Linked DNA regions of Coturnix japonica. The protein of the gene in region 2 interacts with the protein of the main gene of each other region in a pairwise test. Links are inferred from orthologs where the notes say so. Each region holds a gene or a part of one and is shown on either strand. Other genes may lie near its edges.

The links.
Region 1: the proteins of DVL3 (region 2) and PITX1 interact in binary tests that used the Homo sapiens proteins (3 or more experiments, as listed by UniProt). The two-hybrid records come from large-scale screens. The link is inferred for Coturnix japonica from reciprocal best matches to the Homo sapiens genes DVL3 and PITX1.
Region 3: the proteins of DVL3 (region 2) and CSNK1D interact in binary tests that used the Homo sapiens proteins (3 or more experiments, as listed by UniProt). The two-hybrid records come from large-scale screens. The link is inferred for Coturnix japonica from reciprocal best matches to the Homo sapiens genes DVL3 and CSNK1D.
Region 4: the proteins of DVL3 (region 2) and SYT6 interact in binary tests that used the Homo sapiens proteins (3 or more experiments, as listed by UniProt). The two-hybrid records come from large-scale screens. The link is inferred for Coturnix japonica from reciprocal best matches to the Homo sapiens genes DVL3 and SYT6.
Region 5: the proteins of DVL3 (region 2) and TNFAIP8L1 interact in binary tests that used the Homo sapiens proteins (3 or more experiments, as listed by UniProt). The two-hybrid records come from large-scale screens. The link is inferred for Coturnix japonica from reciprocal best matches to the Homo sapiens genes DVL3 and TNFAIP8L1.

Annotation. Positions count from the first base shown.
Region 1 is NC_029528.1:2,532,659-2,535,489, forward strand, and holds the end of PITX1 (pituitary homeobox 1), read right to left. Parts: intron 1,385-2,831; coding exon 845-1,384; 3' UTR 801-844; downstream 1-800. UniProt on the Homo sapiens protein: Sequence-specific transcription factor that binds gene promoters and activates their transcription. May play a role in the development of anterior structures, and in particular, the brain and facies and in specifying the identity or structure of hindlimb.
Region 2 is NC_029524.1:13,798,882-13,803,303, reverse strand, and holds the start of DVL3 (segment polarity protein dishevelled homolog DVL-3), read right to left. Parts: upstream 3,060-4,422; 5' UTR 3,046-3,059; coding exon 2,528-3,045; intron 1-2,527. UniProt on the Homo sapiens protein: Involved in the signal transduction pathway mediated by multiple Wnt genes.
Region 3 is NC_029533.1:4,227,877-4,232,512, reverse strand, and holds the start of CSNK1D (casein kinase I), read right to left. Parts: upstream 2,940-4,636; 5' UTR 2,684-2,939; coding exon 2,608-2,683; intron 1-2,607. UniProt on the Homo sapiens protein: Essential serine/threonine-protein kinase that regulates diverse cellular growth and survival processes including Wnt signaling, DNA repair and circadian rhythms. It can phosphorylate a large number of proteins.
Region 4 is NC_029541.1:3,851,608-3,856,139, forward strand, and holds the start of SYT6 (synaptotagmin-6), read right to left. Parts: upstream 3,099-4,532; 5' UTR 2,848-3,098; coding exon 2,697-2,847; intron 2,652-2,696; exon of another isoform or gene 1,928-2,651; intron 1,158-1,927; exon of another isoform or gene 1-1,157.
Region 5 is NC_029543.1:4,003,124-4,007,486, reverse strand, and holds the start of TNFAIP8L1 (tumor necrosis factor alpha-induced protein 8-like protein 1), read left to right. Parts: upstream 1-1,164; 5' UTR 1,165-1,353; intron 1,354-4,363. UniProt on the Homo sapiens protein: Acts as a negative regulator of mTOR activity.

The DNA.
Region 1 (2,831 bases), on a different chromosome or scaffold from region 2:
TCCCCCCATCCCCCTTTTTTGGACTGCGATTCCGTTTCTCAGTGGTAAACATCACCCGAACTCCCCCCATCCTCCCCCCTACCTCCCCCCCATACCCCACCCTCGTGCGCCCGCGGCCGCCGCCGCCCCCAGCGCTCCCCCCGGGCCGCCCCCAATGGCCGCTGTGCCGCGGGGAGCGGCCGCCTTACCACCTCCTGTGCAAGTTCAAGTAAACACATACAACCCGCATCATCCAGAGAAAAATTGCAACTCATCCATGTACCAGATTTCGGTGTCTCTTGCAAAAAGTTTTCTGGTCCGTTTCCCTTTTTTTTTTTTAATTATTATTTTTTTAATTATTATTTTTAATTATTATTATTTTGGTGGTTTGCTTTTTTAATGGTTACTATTGGCTTATTCGTTTTTAAAGCGCTGCTTTTGTTGGTTGTGTCGTCGGATCTCTTTTTCTATTTATTTATTCTTATTTATTCTCATTTTTGTTGGTGGTGGTTTTTTAGACAATCGAAGTCCGCAGAGCTTTCGGGTTTTGTTTTATTATCATCGTTATTATCATTATGATTTTGCCTTCCCTCCCCCCCCCCCCCCCCTTTTTGTGCTGTTTCTTTCCCTCTCTCACTTGCTCGGGTTTTGCTTTTACACATCATCGGGTTCCTACATACACACACACACACACATATATATATATATATTCATTTCCGTTTAACGTCGCTTTGTTTCTGCTTTATTTTGTATTTTTTTCTTCTTTTTTTTGTTTTTTTTTTTTTGTTTTTTTTTCTTGTTTTGTTTTTTTTTTTTGTTTTGCTTTGTCGGCGCTGTTCGTCGGAGGTGGTTCGTGTCAAGTCCGTCAACTGTTGTACTGACAGGCGTTTAGGCTGGAGCCGGGGCTCTGCACACTGGCGTAACCAAAGCTGGAGTGCTGCTTGGCTTTGAGTCTCAGGCTGGCCAAGCTCGAGTTACAAGTGTCCCGGTACACGCTGTAGGGAGAGCCCGGCGGCCCATAGGGACAAGCGGGTGACGACATGGCCGAGTTGAGCGAGGAGCCGCTGATGTTGTTGATGTTGTTGAGGCCGGAGTTGGCCATGCCCGGCACGGCCGAGTGGCCCATCCCGGAGGGCATGTTCATGGAGGAGATGCTGCTGGGAGCCGAGAACATGGACTGCGAGGAGAGGGGGCTCATGGAGTTGAAGAAGGTGAAGCTCTTGGTGGAGAGCGGCGCCGGGGTGAGGCTTTTGGTGGCCCAGTTGTTGTAGGGGTACCCGGCGTACATGTCGTCGTAGGGCTGCATCAGCCCGCTGAACTGCGGCACGTAGCCGTTCTTGCACAGGTCCATCTGCTGGTTCCGCTCCCGCTTTCTCCACTTGGCTCGGCGGTTCTTGAACCAAACCTGAGGGAGGGACAGGCCACGGTCAGAGCTGCCCCGCCGCGCACGATGCGCTCCCGGCCGCGCAGAGGCGCGCAAGTAGCGCTCAGACGCTCCCGACACCCCCTCACCCCCTCAGTCCCCCACCTCCCCACGCTCGGGCACGGCCCCAGTCGCTCCCAGTCCCACCTCTCCCGGTCCCATCGATCCCTGCCCCTCTGCTCCCTGTCCGCGCATCTCCGCTCGCAGCCGATATTCAGCGGCATCTGCGAGCGGGGCTGCTCGGGTGTCCGCATCCCCCTCCGCCCCTCTCCCCTCGCCATGGGGAGAAGGCACGGCCAGCTCTGATTAGGGCCGGCTCGCCCCGGCTCCGCCGTGTTTCCGAATGCTAATGCTGTGTAATAAAAGTCCCCTGTTACAGATCATAAAAAAGGGGATTGGATTAGTATGTTTAGGTTTAAAAAAAAAAAAAATAAAAAAAATCAGTCCCTGCATGGCCCTTGGATGGATGCAGCCTCTGCCTTTATATCTAATGAGAATTTACAGCCCTGACTGGGGAACAGAGGAGCAGGGGCCGCTCCTGGTGTTTGATGCAAAAAACCGATCCAGGCTCTCTCCTATTTTATTTACTTTTTCTTTTCTTTTTGGAAAGGCTTTGAGCCCCCCGCGATGGGATCCATGAGCCGGGGCAGGAAGGGGCCGCCCGGCTCCCAAATTCTATCCCCGGGTTAAACCCGGCAGCACCGCGCTCCGTTTCCAGCCTCCTCCGCCGCCCCCTCCTCACTGCGCTCAGCCCCGCGGAGGCTGCGCTCCTCGCAGCGCCCCTGCCCTCCCCTCCCCGCTCAGCGATGGCGCAACGTTCTTACACCAGCGCTCATAGGGATGGAAAAAACTGCGAGGGAAGAAGGGATGGCGGAGTCAATTGAAAAAATAACAATAATAAAAAGAATCCAGTATTAAATACGAAGAGGAAACGAAAGGCAACGTTTTCAAAACCTGTAATATACTCCTCGGAAGGTGCTTCCAGACAGGAATTTCCTGAAAATGAGGGTAATAGTTTTAATTATGGCTCCTAGACATTTTAAAGGAAGGCCCTCACAGCAAATTAAGGTTAGATTTGCAATCTGCAATCTCAGAACATCAAACCAAAACATCTCCACACAGAGGGAGAACGAAATGATGTTAATGGCCACTCGTATATTAGTTTTATTTGCTTCCTGAAATATTCCAGCAATATTAATGCCGTTCGGTCTCCTCTCGGGCTTTGTTTTGTTTTGTTTTAAACGCAATTAGTACAATGCATTCGGATGCAGAGCGTGTTTACTCACGGAAGATTTTAAACGGAATTGTTTGCTATCCGATTGGATCATTTGGAGTTTAATTACCAGAAAGGGCTCTGAGGGGCTGAGGGGTGACTCTCAAACTCCCTTTTTTTCTCTCCCAGATTTCTGCTCCGTCCGTGTGTGGACTC
Region 2 (4,422 bases):
GAGCACTGAGCAGGATGAACCCCTGGCACAGCCACGCAGCCACCCCAGAGAGCCTCTGTTCCCATTTCCAAGGAGACGTAAACACTGAAGCTGCTCCATCACTGCCCTGATTCTCAGGGCAAACAAATATTAACAAGATAAACAAAAGAAGGAAAAATCCCACACAGCAAGACTGCAGCTGAAACGCTGCCCTGAGGATGGGCAGGCTGCAGGGAACGCTGGGCTGGAGATGCACAGCCTCCGAAGGGGAGGAAGAAGGAGAAACCCATTCAATCTGGGCACCAGAGGTGAGAGGAAGCGTTGGATTAAGCCTTGCGAGGTCCCTTCCAACCAAGCAGCCACGCTGTGATTCTTGAAAGAGGCTGAGGGATGAACACACAGCCCTGCAATGCCTTTCTTTGGCACACAGCTGCTGAACACAACCAGCATTCATCTCTTGCTGGTTTTCACTAATCGCTCCGATATTTACAGGCTCACAAGGAGCAGCTGAGCTTCCTCCTGCCCTTCTGTCCCTGCACACCGACTCGTTGCTTTCTCCTGGACACCAACCACCAGGGATCCCAAATATTTCCAGTGCTGCCTGGGGCTCCAGAGCATCTTGGAGACAACGCTGCAGTTGGACGGCTCCAGCCCTTCCCTGGCTTCCTTTGGCTCTCTGGAAAGGAGGAAAGACCCAAACATCTCTACCCCGATGGGGCAGCCCTGGTGCCACCAGGAGAGGTTTCTGCTTTCCATTCCATGCAGTGCTTCAGCACAGTGGGGCAGGATCTCACCCACCGCCCAAGAGACCCCTTCCAGCTGCAGACCCACCTTCCCAAAGTCACTTCTTCCCAGAGGAGCTGGCTGAAATCATCCTCATCTCCCACATTCCTGTGCAGCTGACCTCACTGGGTCTCCCTGAGCCATTCTTCCCTCTCCCTCCTCGTACTCTATGTGCTTTATCTTCAACTTTCATTAATCCACCATCTGCCTCCTCTCACGGAGCCTTAAAGACACAGAGGAGGATGAAAAGGCACAAGGCAGAGCTCTGCTGCCACCAGACCCCTCTTCCCAACTCGAGACGCTGCTATTTATTACTAAACTTTGTTTATAGTTGCGCAGACACTCTCCCACCCACACGGCAGTATTTCATTCGAGACAAGTTTGAATTCACTTCAAGAACATTTCAAAGGATCTCAAAGCATTTGTTTACAAACAGAGCGAGCCCAGAATGGAGAATTCACTTCTCCCACCACGGAGACACGGTCCCCTCAGAGCCGAGGAGAGGCAGCTGTTCCATAGCACCCAACAGCTGAGGGACAGGAAACCATCGGCCAACAACTGATAGCGCAGGGGAGATTTATGGTAAACGAGGGCCGAGGAGCTTCTATTTGGCTGGAGAGAAGGGGGGAAGCTGTTGAGGGCTGCAGCTCTCCGCTGGGCCTGGAGGAATGCAGAGAGGCGAAGCGTCCCAGACTGTGGTCACAGGAGTGACTCCAACTTCCAAGCCTCAACTGAAAGCTGGCATCTCCCGAGCTAACGGGAACCTGGGCACCGGGATGGTTTGGCTGCAGAGGGGAGAGCACCCCCTGCCGAGGCAGCCACACGGCTTTCCATCCAAGCCCCAAACAGGCCCAGCCCTGTGTAACTTACGGCAGGAGCCAAGATTGCAGCCCAGGGAGGCATTTGGCGCGGCACGAAGACACTGGGAAGGCTATAAAACTGAAAGCTCTCTGCAGTCCCAGCCTCCATCCGCAAGACCTACTGTAAACACTCCATCTTCTGAAGGGAAAAAATGCAAAGGGAAGGAGATCACGCAACTCTTTTAAACGGCAAAGCACTAGGGATGGTGATGGGTCACGTGCTGCGGAGGCCAAGAGAAGCTGCGAAGGGAAGGGAGCTCCACAACAAAGCCAGAGGAGAATGAGAGGTGGGAAGAACCCAGGCAAAACAAAGGGTGTCACCAAGAAATGAGGGCCAAACAAAGGGTCTCACTGAGATCTGATCTCACGGGGCTCCCCAGGTCAGTTCATGCCTTGAGGGAGATGGGAGGAAGCAGCTTCCGAGCAGATCAGTCAACACAACTGTCCATGGTAGGAGCAGGACTGAGTGCATCCAAACAACCACGCGTGGTGGAAAGAGCAAAGAAACCATGAAAACACGGGGAGTGGAGGAGAGCTGCCCCAACACAAGGCAGGGCTGCTTCTCTCTTCCATATGGCCCCGCTGTGGAGATGGAGCAGGGCACAGCTCGTCCACTTTGCCCAGAGCCGGGCAGCACATGGAGAGCTCTCAAACCCCTTCATCCATCCATCCCAGAGCCGGGGAGGGGAGAAAGCACTGCCAAAATGGACGGTGCTCCCCAAAATGGATGTGAGGAGAGCCGCGCCGTGCCGGGCAGGGGCCAGGGAGGGAGCGGTGCCCTCGCACCGTCCCCGGGTCCACACAAAGGAAGGAGCCCGGCCCTTGGGAACAGAACGGCGATGCTCGGGGGACGCCGCCACCCCCCGCAGTGCCCCGCGCAGGGCCCGGCCCGGGGCCGCGCTCACCCGAAATCGTCGTCCATGGACTTGAAGTAGAACTTGTAGTTGGGCCGGTTGAGGAGGCCCTTGAAGTCGCCGAGTGTGACGCGCTCGGCCGGGATGGGCAGCTTCACCAGTACGGCGTCTTTCCTGCTCGTCCAGGTGGTAGATGATCTTCCGTCTCGGCCGCCGCCATGGCGCCCCTGCCCGGCCGCCGGGCCGCCGCTCCTCCGCCCCCGGCCCGGCCCGAGACCCCCCGCGCCGCCTCCGGCCGCCCTCCCGCCGCGGTCCCGCTCGGCCCGGCCCGGGCCCGGCTCCCTCGCTGTTCGGGCCCGGCCCGGTTCCGGCCCGCCCGCTCCGCTCCCCCCTCGCCCCTTGTTCTGCGGGTCCCAGCGCCGCCCGGACGCACCGCGCACGCTCCGACCCGCGGCCCCGCCCCCCCCACGGCCCCACCGGAACCGGAACCGGCGCCCCACGGGGCCGCGCTGCTGGGCCGCCCTCGGCACCGCACGAACCGGGTCCCCACACCGGGCAGCGTACACCATGACCCCATACACCGTGACCCCATACACCGTGATCCCCATACACGGGTGCACCCCCCCATACACCGTGACCCCCCATACACCGTGACCCCCATACAACGCGTGCCCCATTACACCGTGACCCCCCATACATCGTGACCCCCATACCGACCCCCATCTGACCCCCCATACACCGTGACCCCCCATACACCATGACCCCATACACCGTGACCCCCCATACACCGTGACCCCATACACCGTGACCCCCATACACCGTGACCCCCCATACACCGTGACCCCCATACACCGTGACCCCATCCCGCAGCACAACGTGCGCATCCCCCCCCTGCGGCTTTGTGCCCCCACTCTGAGCTCAGCCCTGCTCAGCAAACACACACACACACACACACAGAACCAAGCGGGCCAGCATCACCAGGACCGGGTTTATTTGCTCCCTGAATTCAATATTGGCCGATACAGAAAACTCAGACCCCGTTCCCCCAACGTTTACAAAGCTCAGTTTGCACTGTCAGAAAAGAAGCAGTTATTGTGCACAATCCTGGTGACACTGAGTGCACAAGGCGGCCCTGCAGCATCGGTTTGAAGAGGCAGCACCCCCGGCCTCCTGCACCCAGCGCTGTCCCCTCACTGACATCAGTGGCACCGTGGAACGGCCAAGTAAAGATCCTGAGTGGGCAGCTCCAGTGCGTGTTCCCCCTCCCTCTCATGGGCTTTATTCCACGCTCCTCCTGAAGGGGCAGAGGCAAGGTCAGCATACCCAGTTTATCATCCACCTATGAACAGAGGCTGCTCCTGAAAGCAGCTGGTCCAGCTGGTGCCCACAGAGTAAAACACAAGTGTAGCTGTGCAGCAGGAGGAGCCAGGCATCTCTGCTCTCTTTGTATTAAGAAACAAACCAACAAAGGAACAGACACCTCTAAAACAATGTGTCTGCTAAGCTGGGGATGTGCAGAAGGCAGATTGCACCTAAGATGTAATAAGCTGTACAGCATTTCACCGAGCAATGTGCATCTGCTATTAGCCAACCCCATAAGGGGAGCTGAGTGTACACCAGCCATCCCGTGGTTCTAAAGAAGGTGGAAACACGTGGTATTACCAACTCTGCTGTGCAACTTCTCTTTAGATTCTAGCACAGCAGATGATAAGAGGTTCTTCCCTTTCATAAAGATCACAGAAACACCTTCTGGACTGCAAAGTGCCTTGGGCATCCTGAGACAACTCACTGTATCTTCTCAAGGCACAGGAACCCTCGAATCCCAGTCCTGCACTCCAGATCCTAATCCACACGCTTCTACTCACCAACCTTGCCAGCGTCTCTTCAGCAGGAGTTCTTTTAGCTCCAGAAGCAATAATGATTCCCAGTAACTTGGCTGTATGGCC
Region 3 (4,636 bases), on a different chromosome or scaffold from region 2:
TAATTAGGGTAACACAAGCAGATCCATTACCTAAGGATCAAGTTCATTTCATCCTGAAACTACTTTATGAGCTATAAACCTATAACCTTCTTAATAAGTAATCAAAGCTCCCAATGAAACCTCTCCCATACGTTCTTCATATTTCCTGCAAGTCCTTGAGGAAACAGGTATGAAGAAGTCAATCTACAGGAGCACCCATGGACTTCTGCCTGCTGAAGTCTAAACATTAAGACCCTTTAAAGGAACACTCTACAGCCCAACAGAACCCAGAGTCACAGCCTTAGTGTAAAAACCGACCATATGAGCTTCTCCAGACAGCTCTTCTCTGTCTCTTAAACTTTAGTTTACAGCACAAAGACCACCTCTAAGAAAAGAGATGTAGTGAAACAGTCATGAAAACACTGTAATGTAATGACTGTAATGCCTTCATGACTCCTGTCTGTTTGACCTTGTGGGTGGAGCCAAACACAGATGCTTACCCTGATTCTTTTCCTGAACACTGCTCATCTTTGCTACTCTATAAGATATCTGGGCATCCATGCTCTTCTTTCTTCTAGATAGGAACCTCATAAGACGGAGGTACACTCAATTCTTCTTTCCTTTAAACTCCCTGTGGTAATTCATTCACCACAGCATCTCAGAGCTCTGTGCTACGGACCCTGTTATGCTACATGAGCCCAGAAGAGCTGTAACACTTCTCTCCCAAGCACAAAACAGATGGAAGCTTACAAACGTATTGAGAGCTATCAGAAAGCGATTGTACTTCAACCTATTAATCCTGAGCTCTGCAAGAATGCAAGAAGTGAACTGTACATGGCTCTGCCTTACTGCACCACCCGAACGACCAAGCAGAGCCTATTTGTTGTTAAACACATTTGGTTTAACCAGAAGCACAGATCCTTTAAGCCTCTGTTTTGCCACACAGCGGCTGGCAAAGCAAACCACCCTCTACAAAAGACCACAATATTTAAGATCTTGACACAGCATTTTCCCTTGGAAACAGATAACTGTGCCATGAGCTGGATCTTTAAGGCAAACCATTCTCTGCTAGCGGATGGCTCAGAAATCACCCTTGTAATGTGATGTAATTATCAATCCATGCTGGTTACTTAAGGATAAGAAGAACAAGATTCGAGGCACGCACAGTGCTCACAGTAAGAGCTAATTGTACATCGACACTGAGAATGTAGGGATAAAAAAGGACAACATCTGAGGATTAGGAATTCTTGCACCAAAAGTTGCAGGAATAAAGAGAGAAATACTGAGACCTGAAAGTCTTTCCTGATGTGGGCTGGATACATAATACATACATACAGATACATACAGATGAAACCATTTCCCAGCCCTCTTCCATACATAAGACAGTAACAACTGACTTGTTTAACTTCTACCCAGCAGTTAATCTGGATTACGAAGCATGCCTTTACTCTACTTGCACTTTAGAACTCTACTGGTCACCATTTAATTTAGAGAAGCCAAATCTTTAGTAGGAATACCTCAAATCACAGCAAGATTGTTCCGATTTTAACTGCTGCCTTAAAGCACTAATGGCTGCTAATGAAGATTTTGTGTGTCACCACGTTCTCTCATAGCACCCTTCATTCTTTTACACACAGAGAGCACAGATCCCATCACAACAACATGGCTGGATTCTTCATCAAGATGATATTATGGATAACCAGCCTTTCACGACCTGTAAGCAAGAAGCTTCAGCTGACACATTATTTCAGAAGACCAACTGTGCATTGCAACACAAAAAGGTACCATTGCCTACAAGAAAAATACATGTATGCCCTGTGTACACCACTAAATACAACATACATGAGCTAGGGATGCCTCCACTCTCTAGACATGTCCATTTAACCTACTTTAATGCCTGCAAGTTCCTCCCCTCCAGTTATGTGTTCTACTTCCCTATGTTACCTCCATTTCCAAACACCAAACGCTTGTTTCTATGTGGCAGCACAAACATCAGTATCTATAAAACCTATTTCTGTACATTGAATCCATTTTGTGCAGTTTGAGAGATTTAAAATACCACGACAACCTTCAATGCAGCCCATTGAACCATCAGCAGTGAGCCATTACAACACAGAGCAGGTAAAGGCACTTCTATCCCACAGTCTTCACACTCGCACAGAAATCACAGCAGTGATTGCGTGCCTTAAGACAAGAGGGCAGCGTTCAAGTCAGGGCAGAGCTGAGCTGTTCTCATTTTTATGGAGGATCTGATGCATTTTTTAACTTGTCATCCCTGAGTTGTGTGATATTTCTTTCAGGCCTTACAGCAGACAGCAACATCCCTGTGACAGCGATTTAACCCAGTGCGCTGCGGTGACATTTAATGCTGATGCTCGTGCTTCTTTCCCCAGATCTTTTCCCCTTTTACAGACAAATATCGACGCCCAAGGTCACCAACCACCAACGTTACGAGGCAGCCGAATCATCCAGGAGTCCAGCGCTGCCTAAATTAGGACACGATGCGAAGGGAACATCGCGCTGTGCCGGCACCGAGGCACGACGCAGCGTTGGCCATTGAGCTCCGTCAGGACGAGGTGAGGCCCCATAGCCCCCCCCGGTGGGTCCGCACTGAGCCCCGCTCCTTACCCAGGTAAATGTCTCCGAAGGATCCGCTCCCGATCTTCCTGCCCAGCCGGTACCTGTTCCCGACCCTCAGCTCCATGGCGGCGCTTCGCTTCGGCCCCGACCCGGTTCCGTCTCCCTTCCCACCCTTCAGGCCGGCGCTCTTCTATCTCACAGCCCCGCCGTTCCTGCCGCCATCGCGGCCCCGGTCCCGCCGCTCGGTGCTGCCGAGGAGAGCGACGCCGCCCTCGGAACTGCAGGGAAGGATGGACGCGGATTCAGCACAACGCCGAGCCCTCAGCGACTCCGGCCCCGAGCGGCCATACTGCGTGACCTCACTTCCTTAGCAACGGGGGCGGGGCGCGCTGCCTGGGGCGTTGCTGGGGAGCCGCCATAGTGTGTGACCTCACTTGGGTGGACTTCCGCTTCCGCCCACCATTTCCGCTCTCATCCGCCCTTCCCATCGCGCTCCGTAGGTCCTCAGATGACAACTGCGCGTGCGCGTCCTGCCCCTGACCTCTCTGCTCCGCCTGTCTCTATGGTCTCCGGTCCTCCAGGCAATAACACGCATGCGTTTAGAACGCGGGTAGTGGCGTCGCTTTGCTTTTACCGCTCTGCGCCGCCAGTCCTCCAAGATCTATGGTCATCGGTCCTCCAGTTTCCCAATGGACGCGGTCTACATTCCTCCAGTCAACAACAAATAACAATAACAATAACAATAACAAGAAAAGCAACTTTCACATGCAAAATTAAAAAATAAAAGAGTTCATCCCCGTGATAACGAGTATAATTTAGACCAAGGAGTTCTAAACAGAAGCAGTATTTCCTAATGCTGTGGGAAAAATTGAGATCACCCCACAGTCATTCCAGCCCTCGTTACTGTTGCTCATCACATTTGCTTTGCAGAGCAATATCTGGGCAAAGAATTGAGGCATTAACAGCAATTGATTGCTATGGGTGAGCAGATATTCTTCCTTAGCATCACTGGGGTTAATTACGCCGTAGATTTTATTTCCACAGACAGTATATACTCGTAATCCCTCCAGGAGGTGATTCATACACATCTATCTCAAGTAATGGCGTTCCACCATCCATCCCGTGGCTTCTGCTGCCATCTAGTATCCTTTAGCATCACCACAGCCCACTCGGCAGCCTCTGACTTCCCCCACCACCTTCCTCACTTGCCCACTTGATAAACTCCCTTCACTGAGGTTTGCTTAGAAGGAGAATGGCTATTAAAAGTAATTTATAGGTACCAACCCTGTCACTTTTGCCTCCTCAGCCATCTGAGCATCTCTTAGTCTCAGGATAGGGATAAGTTCAGCATCCTGTCTTTACTGGGGAAGGAGAGGGGGAATACATTGACACCTGCCTGTTCCATCCCAGCCTACCCACAGAGCAAGGCTACGCAGCCTTGTGTAAAGGCCCTGGCTTCTTTGATGTTTGTTAACCCCACTCATGCCTTTTCCTTCTTGAGTTTCTTTTGCTGAGGGTCTCTTATCAAAACAGAATAGCCTTACAACATGCTTTCTAGTCTATAATACTACATCCATAACTATTCACAACATCTAAAAGCTATCGCAGTTTTGCAAGCAAGAATTGATCGCATCATACAATTCAACTGCGGTTTTTATAAGGATAGGCTACTGAAATATGTCGCAGATCAACCCAAGAGCCAAAGCGTAGCAGTGAAGCAAGAGCTGGCACTGAGCACAGATACATGTCACAGCCTCCAGCATGGCCGGGAGCTGCAAGGAAGGCAGAGGAAACAGATCCCTTCTGCACTTGGCTTTCAATTGAACAGCAGCCCCAGGGACCCCTGGTTGTTTATGGGTCTCAGGTGGGACCTGCTGGGTGCTCACAGCAGGTAGGGTTTATTATTATGTGCATGTTCCATCCATCTATCCAGGCTTGGCTTAAGGAGAGCAAAAGCACTGCCCAGGGAAGAGGTCCAGAGGGTGGCAGGGGTGCTGCTCCCACCCCACCTGGCCCAACAGGCTCCTCATCTTTGTTAAGGCCTCCAGGCACTGTCTCAGTGTTACCTCTGTAATAA
Region 4 (4,532 bases), on a different chromosome or scaffold from region 2:
AACCAACCAGCAGCAGTTCAGCAGATCCAAAGCTCGCCGCTATGCAGAGTTACTTAGAAAGCTCCCAGGCACTGCACAGCTCCATAGTGCTGTTTATTTACCAGGACCATTTCAATGAGCACAAAGCCAGCTGTGAATTCACGGAGCTACACACCGAACGCATAAACATATTCATAGACAAACCATACAATCAATTTCCCCTTGATTTACGCTGCTGGTTTTGACCTTATTTCAATAGAGTTTAAGCCTTCTAGCTGCAAGATTTGAACACGACACCTTCAGGATCAGAGCACAAACCTGTTCTGCTTGAGCTAAAGAGCAAATGTGCTGCATGCAGCCCTTGCTGGCTCTCTACCTGCTGCTGGAACAGGCGCTCACAGAGGAAGGCAAAATCCATTCTGTGAGTGCATTGCGCCGTGCTAAGAGAGATCTTTGCCCACAGGCACTGCTCCTCACATGCTTGGCCTCCAGAGACGTAAGCCTTGATGATTAGTATTAGTTTTGCCTGGGTGGCTTCAAACATGTTCACTGTTATACCACCATATTGACTTAAAATACACTTGAACAGTGATTCAGAGAAGTGTGTTATTACAGCCAATAAGTAAACGCAGGAGTGGCCCTTATTTCACAGCTAGTGGCTCGAGGCATCCCACATCAGTGAATGGTCATGCCATCAAGTTCCCATTAGTCAAGCTGCCCTATCAAGGGATATTTTTTGTCCCCAGGAACACACTTCAGAAGCAATTTCCCCATATAAAAATGTTCGTTCCCCATCAGCATTTCTGCAACAAACCTCCCCACGCTGCACAAGAGCTCAGCCTCTCCCCTCCTGCAGCAGGAATGCTTACAGACGTGTGGGTTTTGCATTTAATAGTATTTGCAGAGCGCCAGGAGCGTGCTGAGCACTGCACAAGAACCGTCTGTGTCATGGAAAAGAGCAGTTCACACAAAGGGCAGAGCACTGAGAGCGCACTGAGTTATGGAAGGGATGGAGCTCAGGACAGCTCAAACACCACACTGGGAAGCAGACGTGCTCTTCAAGTCCCAGAGAGCTCAGCAAACTCAGAGTGCCTGCCACAGCTGCAGGGTGCAGCAGTATATACCTGTTTGCTTAAGGTACATCACTGCAGTGGCAAGTGTTGGCTCTATATCACAGCCTGTAGCTCGTGGCTGTCTGCTATCTGCACACAGCATCACTGCACAGTGAATGAGGGTGGGCAGGGAAGAGCTGTCAGATGCACTGAGCTGCAGGGGGGTCAGATGGGCACAATAAAGGACATTGCCTTTGTCCAACCGCAGGGCCCACAGCCAGGAGAGCAGGGCTATTCCTGGCACTGCTGACACATCCCTACAACACCTTCCTCACCCAAGAGCCTTATTTTTCAGACACACAGAGTTACAACCCAGCAGCCCACAAAGCTCCTTCATTGATACACAGTGCTGTACGGCGAACTGGAGAAATGCTGCAGCTACGTTTCTCTTATTGGCTAAGTAGGGGAACAGGCTGTTACATAACCCAAAGCACAGAGAGTAGGGAAGCATCTACTTGATGCACAGAATCTCTTCTCACATCCAATTCAAAGCACTTTCAAACAGGAGAATCAGCGCACAAAACCAGAATTGCACAGTGCTACCTATTTGCACAGAAACCAGCCCAGTACTTTTATATCCACAGTCCTTTTCCATGGCCAGATATGATCCAAGAAGGCTAATATGGCACTTGGCTCACTTCATCACAGCACACAATATACTGGGGTGCTCCCATTCATCAGCAACATGAGCTGCATGACCATGACAACTCAACTTTACCCATCCACCAGCTAATAGATCTATCCAGGAGGTAAAAAACTAGCACAGAACCTTTGAATACACATGCTCAAATGCAACAGCCCTAAGCATAGAAACAAAAGAAAACATAACTACTTACATCAGGAAGGCTTCCAGAGCAGCAAGGATCTCCAGTGAGATGCCATTACCTCCACTGCCAACCCTCAAATGAGGTTTGGGAAGGGGTGGAACCAGGCTCTGGTCACTCAGGTGCATTTCATTGCACACACCTGTGCTTCTCACCAGGTGCTCAATCACTGTTTTAGATCATGACTTAGCAAAGTGCCATTTCATTCGCTTGGGTTTTGCTCCTCCATGTGAACCTGTGATGTTTGATCCCTCTGCAAACGTCTTTGGCAGTTGCAGGTAAGGGCTGCTCTCTAGAAGCTGTGAGCAGAAGGGGAATTCACCACGTTCCCATGCAGAAGTGCCCCTTTGCCTTTAGAGCAATCACCAGCTCCCAGCCCGTGCATCACCCTGCCTGGTGACCCCATGCAAACCCTTCCTTTCCTTGAGCTGAGGTAACAATAAGCATCTCTGTCTCTCAAACGGGCTTTTTTATTGCTTCTCTCTTCGTATAGGATGAGAGTTGAGGTTTTTAACTAAAAACAAGGAACTTACACAGAAACTTAACACCACCAACCACCTCTCCACCTCAGTGCAGCTCTGCCCATGGGGTTACACCGACTTACACCGACAGATTAACCTGCACCAGCTGTGGGATGCATAAAGGAAAATAAAGACAGGTCTGTGCTAAGACAGTTCTCCCCTAATTCCAACACTGAGCCCCCAGAGGATCCCCCGCTCTGAAGGCATTTCCCTGCTTTGGATGTTTGCAGTCCTGAGCTCACAGGACCATAGTACTGTACCTGGCTTGGAGATGCTCAGGCTCTGGTCTGAAGGCAGAAGGAATTCCCTACACGTGTCCAGATCCAGGGCAGGAAGGCTTTTTTTCCGGCACAGCTCAGAGATGATGCGAACTGCCTTCTGACAGCGGCTGTCATCCTCGGTGCCACTCATCTCCCAGACCGCATCCTCCGCTGCCCCCCTTCTGTCTCAGGAAGTCCAACTAGAAGCACAGGCTGTGCTTCTTTCCCACAGCATCAGTCCCACCCTTTGACATGGCTGCACCGGGGGGGTCCCACGTACCCCCAGTGCCCTGAGCTGCAGGTTGGGCTGCAGAGCCCTGTGCTGTCTGCAGCCCCTCTGTGCTCCTGGCGCTCAGATTGCCTCTGAGATCAGAGATCTGTTTACTGCCAAAGAGTGTTCCAGACAAAGAACCTCCTACTAAATTCAGTTTCGTGCCCTCCATACTATGCTTTTAAAGCCGCAGCCCAGATAATTCCTTTTAACCCTTCTGTTGCTCTTCCTCCTGGTTCCCTGGGTGCAGAGTTTCAAACCTGGAGCATCCTGACAAAGGAAGTGAATGTTGAAATCTGACTGAGGACAACAGAGAAACGCTGCACAAATTACTATAGCTGCGAAAGGCAGAGTGGAATGAGCAGTCAGGTTTGTTTGCATCAGTGCCATTGCAGCCAGTTGGAGGTGGCCATAAAGACTGAGCACATCATTCTATTTTGCTCTCAGGTTTTAAGAAAGGAACAACCACAAGTCTGTAGCCTTTCTTATTTCTGATGCAGTTTATTTGGCACATCGTGCCACGCAATCAAACCACGCTTTTGAATTTGAGAACATATTTAGCACACGTGAAAAAAGAATCAATCCTATAACAGTCCCAGCTCTGCTCAGCAGAGTGATTCCTTGCAGCCCCGGAGCAGCACCAGATCATCAGTAAACTGGAGACTGAACGCTGCAGCTGCACGGGTCCCTCAGCCCCACATCACAACAGCACGTCGAGATTAATGGCAGTGTGTTTATTCTGGCTGGCAATTACTGCTGAAGTTCGGTGAGCTCTCGCATCACACGAGTCCCAGGAGATACACAAGCACCTGTACAGCCAGGAGCATCAGCCCTATAGACTCATATGGGGCTCCCAGAAGCTCAGGCCTGAAATTGCAGCCTGGTGATGTGAAGAAATAAACACACCGTACATTGTAGTAGAATATTTAGGAATACAGCTGTTGAATTGTTGTATTACGGGATCAGCTCTTACTAATGAAACAACTTCACCTGCAACACTTCACCTACTAAGCACCAACCCTTCCGAAGAGTTCAGTTGCTGTGGCAACGTGTTGGAAAGCCGTTATTAAGACAGCAATATCCCACAAATGGTCACAAAGAGACATTGTTTAATTAGACACCACCACCTCCCGGTCAGCCCTGCAGAACCCTCTGCAGCTTTGAGACAACTGCAAACAGCAGCACAAGCTGCACTGAGCAGAGATCCCAAACTCTGCAAGGTGGGAAATGGAACCAGTAACTGACCGGGAGCTCAGCTCTGGTTCAGCTTTGTAGAACATTTAAGATTCTGATCTTCTTGCTGGTAAGAATGACTCTGATTTGGATCCTCTGGCAGCACTGATGTGGGGTCTGTGTGTAAATGGTGCTGTGCAGACCAAGCAATAAGCTGAGCAAACAGCTTCACCCAATGGAAAGGAGGGAGGAACTGTTTGTCACAAGAGAAACAGCCTCAAGAATGAATAGAAATCCAATACCAATCACAGGAGCTGGGCCTTGAACTGAGTATGGGGGAATAAAGTGAAGCAAGCTCTCCTTGAAGCTGTAGAGAAGTGCCAACCAGCAGC
Region 5 (4,363 bases), on a different chromosome or scaffold from region 2:
GATGGTGGGGCTGAGAGCAGCTCCTGGGGTGCATGGGCAGAGGGAGGGCATCATGGGGTGGGGTGCGCTGTACCCTTGGCTCGGTTTGTTCAGCTCCAGCCTGGGTTGGAGGGTGGAGGAGTTCCACAGTCATGGGCAGTGGGTGAAGGAGGGGATGTTCCCCTTCTGCACTGCGAAACCTTATCTGGAGCACTGCCTCCTGATGTGGAGTCCTCAGCTCAGGAGGGACTCAGACTTGTTGGAGTATTACCAGAGGAGGGTCACGAAAAGGTTCCCAAGGGAACACCTCCTTATGAGGACAGGCTGAGAGCTGGGGCTGTGCAGCATGGAGAAGAGAAAGCTCTGGGAATGAGCAGATTATCAGGACCTGAAGGAGCTGTAAGAGAGGAGACAGACTCTAGCAGAGGACAAGGGGAAATGGTTTCAGACTAAATGAGGGGAGATTTAGAGTGGATATAACTTCCCTGGAGGGCCCCCCGTAGAAGACAAAGTCTGTTGGAGCACTCCCATGGAGCAGGAGCTGCAGAGGAAGGAAGGAACTGTTTAACTTCCCAGCTGCTGCATGAAACTATCGGCAAATTCAAGTCTGTTTAATCCAGACTTTAATTTGCTCTAAATCCTGCCTTTAGTGCTTTTAATGCCACCTTTCAGAATTAGGATCCTGCGCAGCGGCTGCTTCGAGGGGTCGGAAGGGATGAAGGGGCCGGGATGGGATAGAAGGCAGCGGTGGAATGATGGGGGGCAGGATGGAGGGGAACAGCGGGATGGAGGAGAGGGGACGGGACGGGAGCGGAGCGCAGACTGACCCCTTCTGGCGGGCGGCACCACCGAGCGGCGGCAGAGGCACTCCACCCCCAAACCCGCTGAGTCGGAGCGCGGCCACAGAGTGCGGGATTTCCCGGGGGCGGTTTCGCTCGGCGCTATCGGGCGGGAGCTCAGCGGCACCGGAACGACAGCAGCGGACGGAGCCGCCCTCGGGTACCCGCCTGCCGGGCTCCAGCCGGGGCGGGGCAGCCCCGCAGCGCACCGGGGAGGGGTCGCCCGTCCCGTGCTCGGCGCCGGTGACCCCGGGGCGAGAGGAAAGCGCCCGGCGCCCGCCCCCTCGGTACTCCCCCGCCCCTCTCCTATTGGCAGCTTCGTAGCAAGCCCCGCATCACCATTGGCCAGCACCGCCGGTGGGCACCGCCTCCACCGCAGCCGCGCTCGGCCCCGCTCGGTCCGGAGCAGCCCGGAGCACCGGGCACGGCGGCTTTACCGAGCACCGGTACAGCGCCGCTGTGTCCGGGCACGAAGAAGCCCCGGGGAAAATCAACACCCCGTCCCACCGGAGGAGCCCTTGTGGCCCCGGTGCAGGTAAGGGCTGCAGGCGCGGGGCTCGCTGTCCCTGTTTTCGGCCCCGCGGGAGAGGTTCTACCCTGACCGCGGCTCTGTGCTCTCCGGCCGGGAGCGGCGGGACCGGCAGCAGCTCCAGCAGCTCCCCCTGCGCCTCTGAGCGCGGTGGGGGTGGAAGGAGGATGGAGCTCTGCGCCTGAGAGCGGAACGGCTCCGAGCTGCCCCGGAGCTGCGTGCTGGCAAAGTGCGGGAAGCGGGAGGTCCGGGAGGGGTCCCGGGGAACGAGTGTGGGTCTGGGGGCCGCGGTTTGGTGGGACGTGTTGATGGGGCGGCTGGGTCTTGTGTGGGGCTGTGCCTCAGCTTCCCCTCTGGGTAAAATGTGGGAGAACGGCAATGGAGAGGGCTTCACTGTCGCTGCTGAAGGAGTGTGCTTTGGAGCCCATCCTCCTGCAGGGCGTTAGGGTTTGTGAACCAGGGGCTGCAAAGGGGAGAAGCGGCTCCAGGAAGGATGTGATATGCTGTTCTGTGCTGCGCAAGTGGGGCCGTGCTGCCCTATATGGCATCCACTCTGCAGCAGCCCCAATCTGCACGTGTGGGGTGCCTGTGGGGCACCACAGCTCCCAGGGGCTTAGAGCCCCCACAGCACCATAGGTGGATCTCTGAGGCTGGGAGGATCCCACCCTAGTGTGAGGTGCAATCTCCCTGACTGCTGCAGAACACACCAAGAGGTTTTTAGGGTTCTGCAAACATTGTGTTGTGACCCGAAGCACAGTGTCGCTAGAGGAAGGCTGCAGCAATGGCCCCGTTACAGGACTGCCTCCATCAGGATAAAGTCTATCTGCAAAACTTTACTTCGCTTTGCCCCTGCTGCAGCCTCCCAAGGGCAGGAAGTGTGTGCTGTGCTGTGCAGCCTCGGCACTGCTGCTTCCCCCTCTGCTTTGCACTTCCCCATCTCTCTCCTGAGCCTCTGTCTGCTACGGGTGAGGAAGAAAGGAAGTTGCCACAGGAGAGAGCAATCGTTGGCTGCCTGATAAGGGAAGGAGGAAATAGAAGGTGAGATGGATGAACCAAAATAACCCCTTCCTCCTCCTCCTGCTGCTGCAGCTGCTAGGCCCCTGGGCGTGATGGCACCACTCAGTCCCCAAGCATGGCATAGGGGTGCTTTCCCCAAGGGCCCCTTCCAGGTGCCAGCAGCTGTTCCCATGCAGCACCTGTGGCCATGTCCCCAGGGAAGGGAGCACTATGGGAGCCCTTTCCCCACCTATGTGTGAGGCTGGGGCTGGTAGTGGGAGTCCTTCACCCAGTTCCGTGCATGGGCACATTTGGGCTGCTGGACACACGAGGGTTCCCAGGTGCCCATTCATATTTGGGACCAAGTCAGGTGTTTCCCAGCCCTGCAGGCTGCTTGGGGATGCTGGGCTTGTTGCAGAGGAGCCAACTCCTCCAGGTAGTTCCTGGCTTCTATCCTATTGGGTGTCAGGGGGCACCAGGATGAGCAGTGCTGGGTGCAGGCAGGGTGCTGCAATGACTCTGTCTGCAGTCTAGCTCGCTCCATCCCTCAGGCCTTCTGTGCTGCCTTTGGCCCCTTGGTACCAAGGTGACTGCGTCCTGTGTGTACCACTATGCTGTGCTGCAGGGATGGACAAGACACTTTCTCCTGGGCAGACTTCAGGTTATAAAAGTTTGAAAACCCCCAAAGGCATTTTGTCATCTTGGGTCGTCTCTTCCCTTTTTTTTTTTTTTTTTTTTTTTTTTGCTGCTGAGGAACTGGGCTTGTGCTCCTGACCCCAGCACAGCCACCAGCAGGATGGCATGGGGCCGTGAGCAGTGCTGGAGCAGCCCTGTGCACTGCTGTGTTGCTGCTGCATTGCTCAGGGAAAGGGGGTCATGGCCCAGAACTCAACAGTGGGTCCCAAAACAGCAGAGCAGGGCCATGCAGCAACCAAGTGAGGCACTGCATAAGGCTCAGGGTTTACCCCCACAGTGTTCTTTGTTCCCTGCCCTCACAGTGCTCCTGCTCACCCTGTTGGGTCATAAGGTTTTCCCCGTGCTGTGAGGTAATTCCCCTCTGGCCTCACCCTGCACTGCACCTGCAGGGCTACATGCTCCTATGGCAACACACATACACACACCAGTGACAACCAAAGGTGCCAGCTCCCTTCTGTGCCACCCAGCATGTGGCTGGGGGGGCTGAGCACTGTGGGGTCAGGCTCCAGTTACACCCCAGTGGCTCTGGCCCTTCTCCCGCGATCTGGTGCAGCAGCGAAGTTTAATTAATTAATGTTGGTTGGGCACTTGATGGTTGGCAAGGGAAAGTGATAGGGCAGAGCAGAGCAGCAGTGCGGCGCAGTGTGTGCATCTCCCTGAGTGGCAGTGGGAGAGTATGGGACACACAATGCGGGGACCAGGGAGATGGTGACCCTGAAACATTGACTTTTAGCATTGGCCCTAATAGGAGATGGTGGTGCTGCCCTTAGGACAGTGTTGGAGGGAATGGAAGTTGGCTGTGAGGTGGAGGAGCTCTTAGCTCAAGCCCTCCTTTCTGCATGCTTGCTCCACACTGCCTCATGCATTATTGAAGTGTGTTTTGCATTCCCGCATCAAATATTCATCCTGCTGCCATGGGAGCTGCTGTGGGGCTGCCAGGAGTGCAGCAGGGCCACGTTGTGAAGTGCTGTAGACACCTGGTGATTGGCACCCAGATGGACACCAGCATAGGGTGGTGAGTGTCAGGTGTGAGACTGGGACCCCCCTGGCCCCCTTAAAGGGGTTTTTATTCCCTCTATGGATGAGATTTTCATCCCTACTCACAGACAGTTTTCTCCTTCCTCCACCCCATTCCTGTACCTCCTGCTCCTGTATCTCCAGGTCTTTTTCTGCTACTGCAGTTGAGCAGTTTTCAGTGCTCAGCTGAAGCCCTGAGATGAAACAGGAACCTGCCCAGCCTTGCAGTGCTTTGGGGATCATTGGAGAATCACGTTGGCAGCTCCCACAGGATGTCCAGGCATAGAACACTGTGTAGATGTTGCAG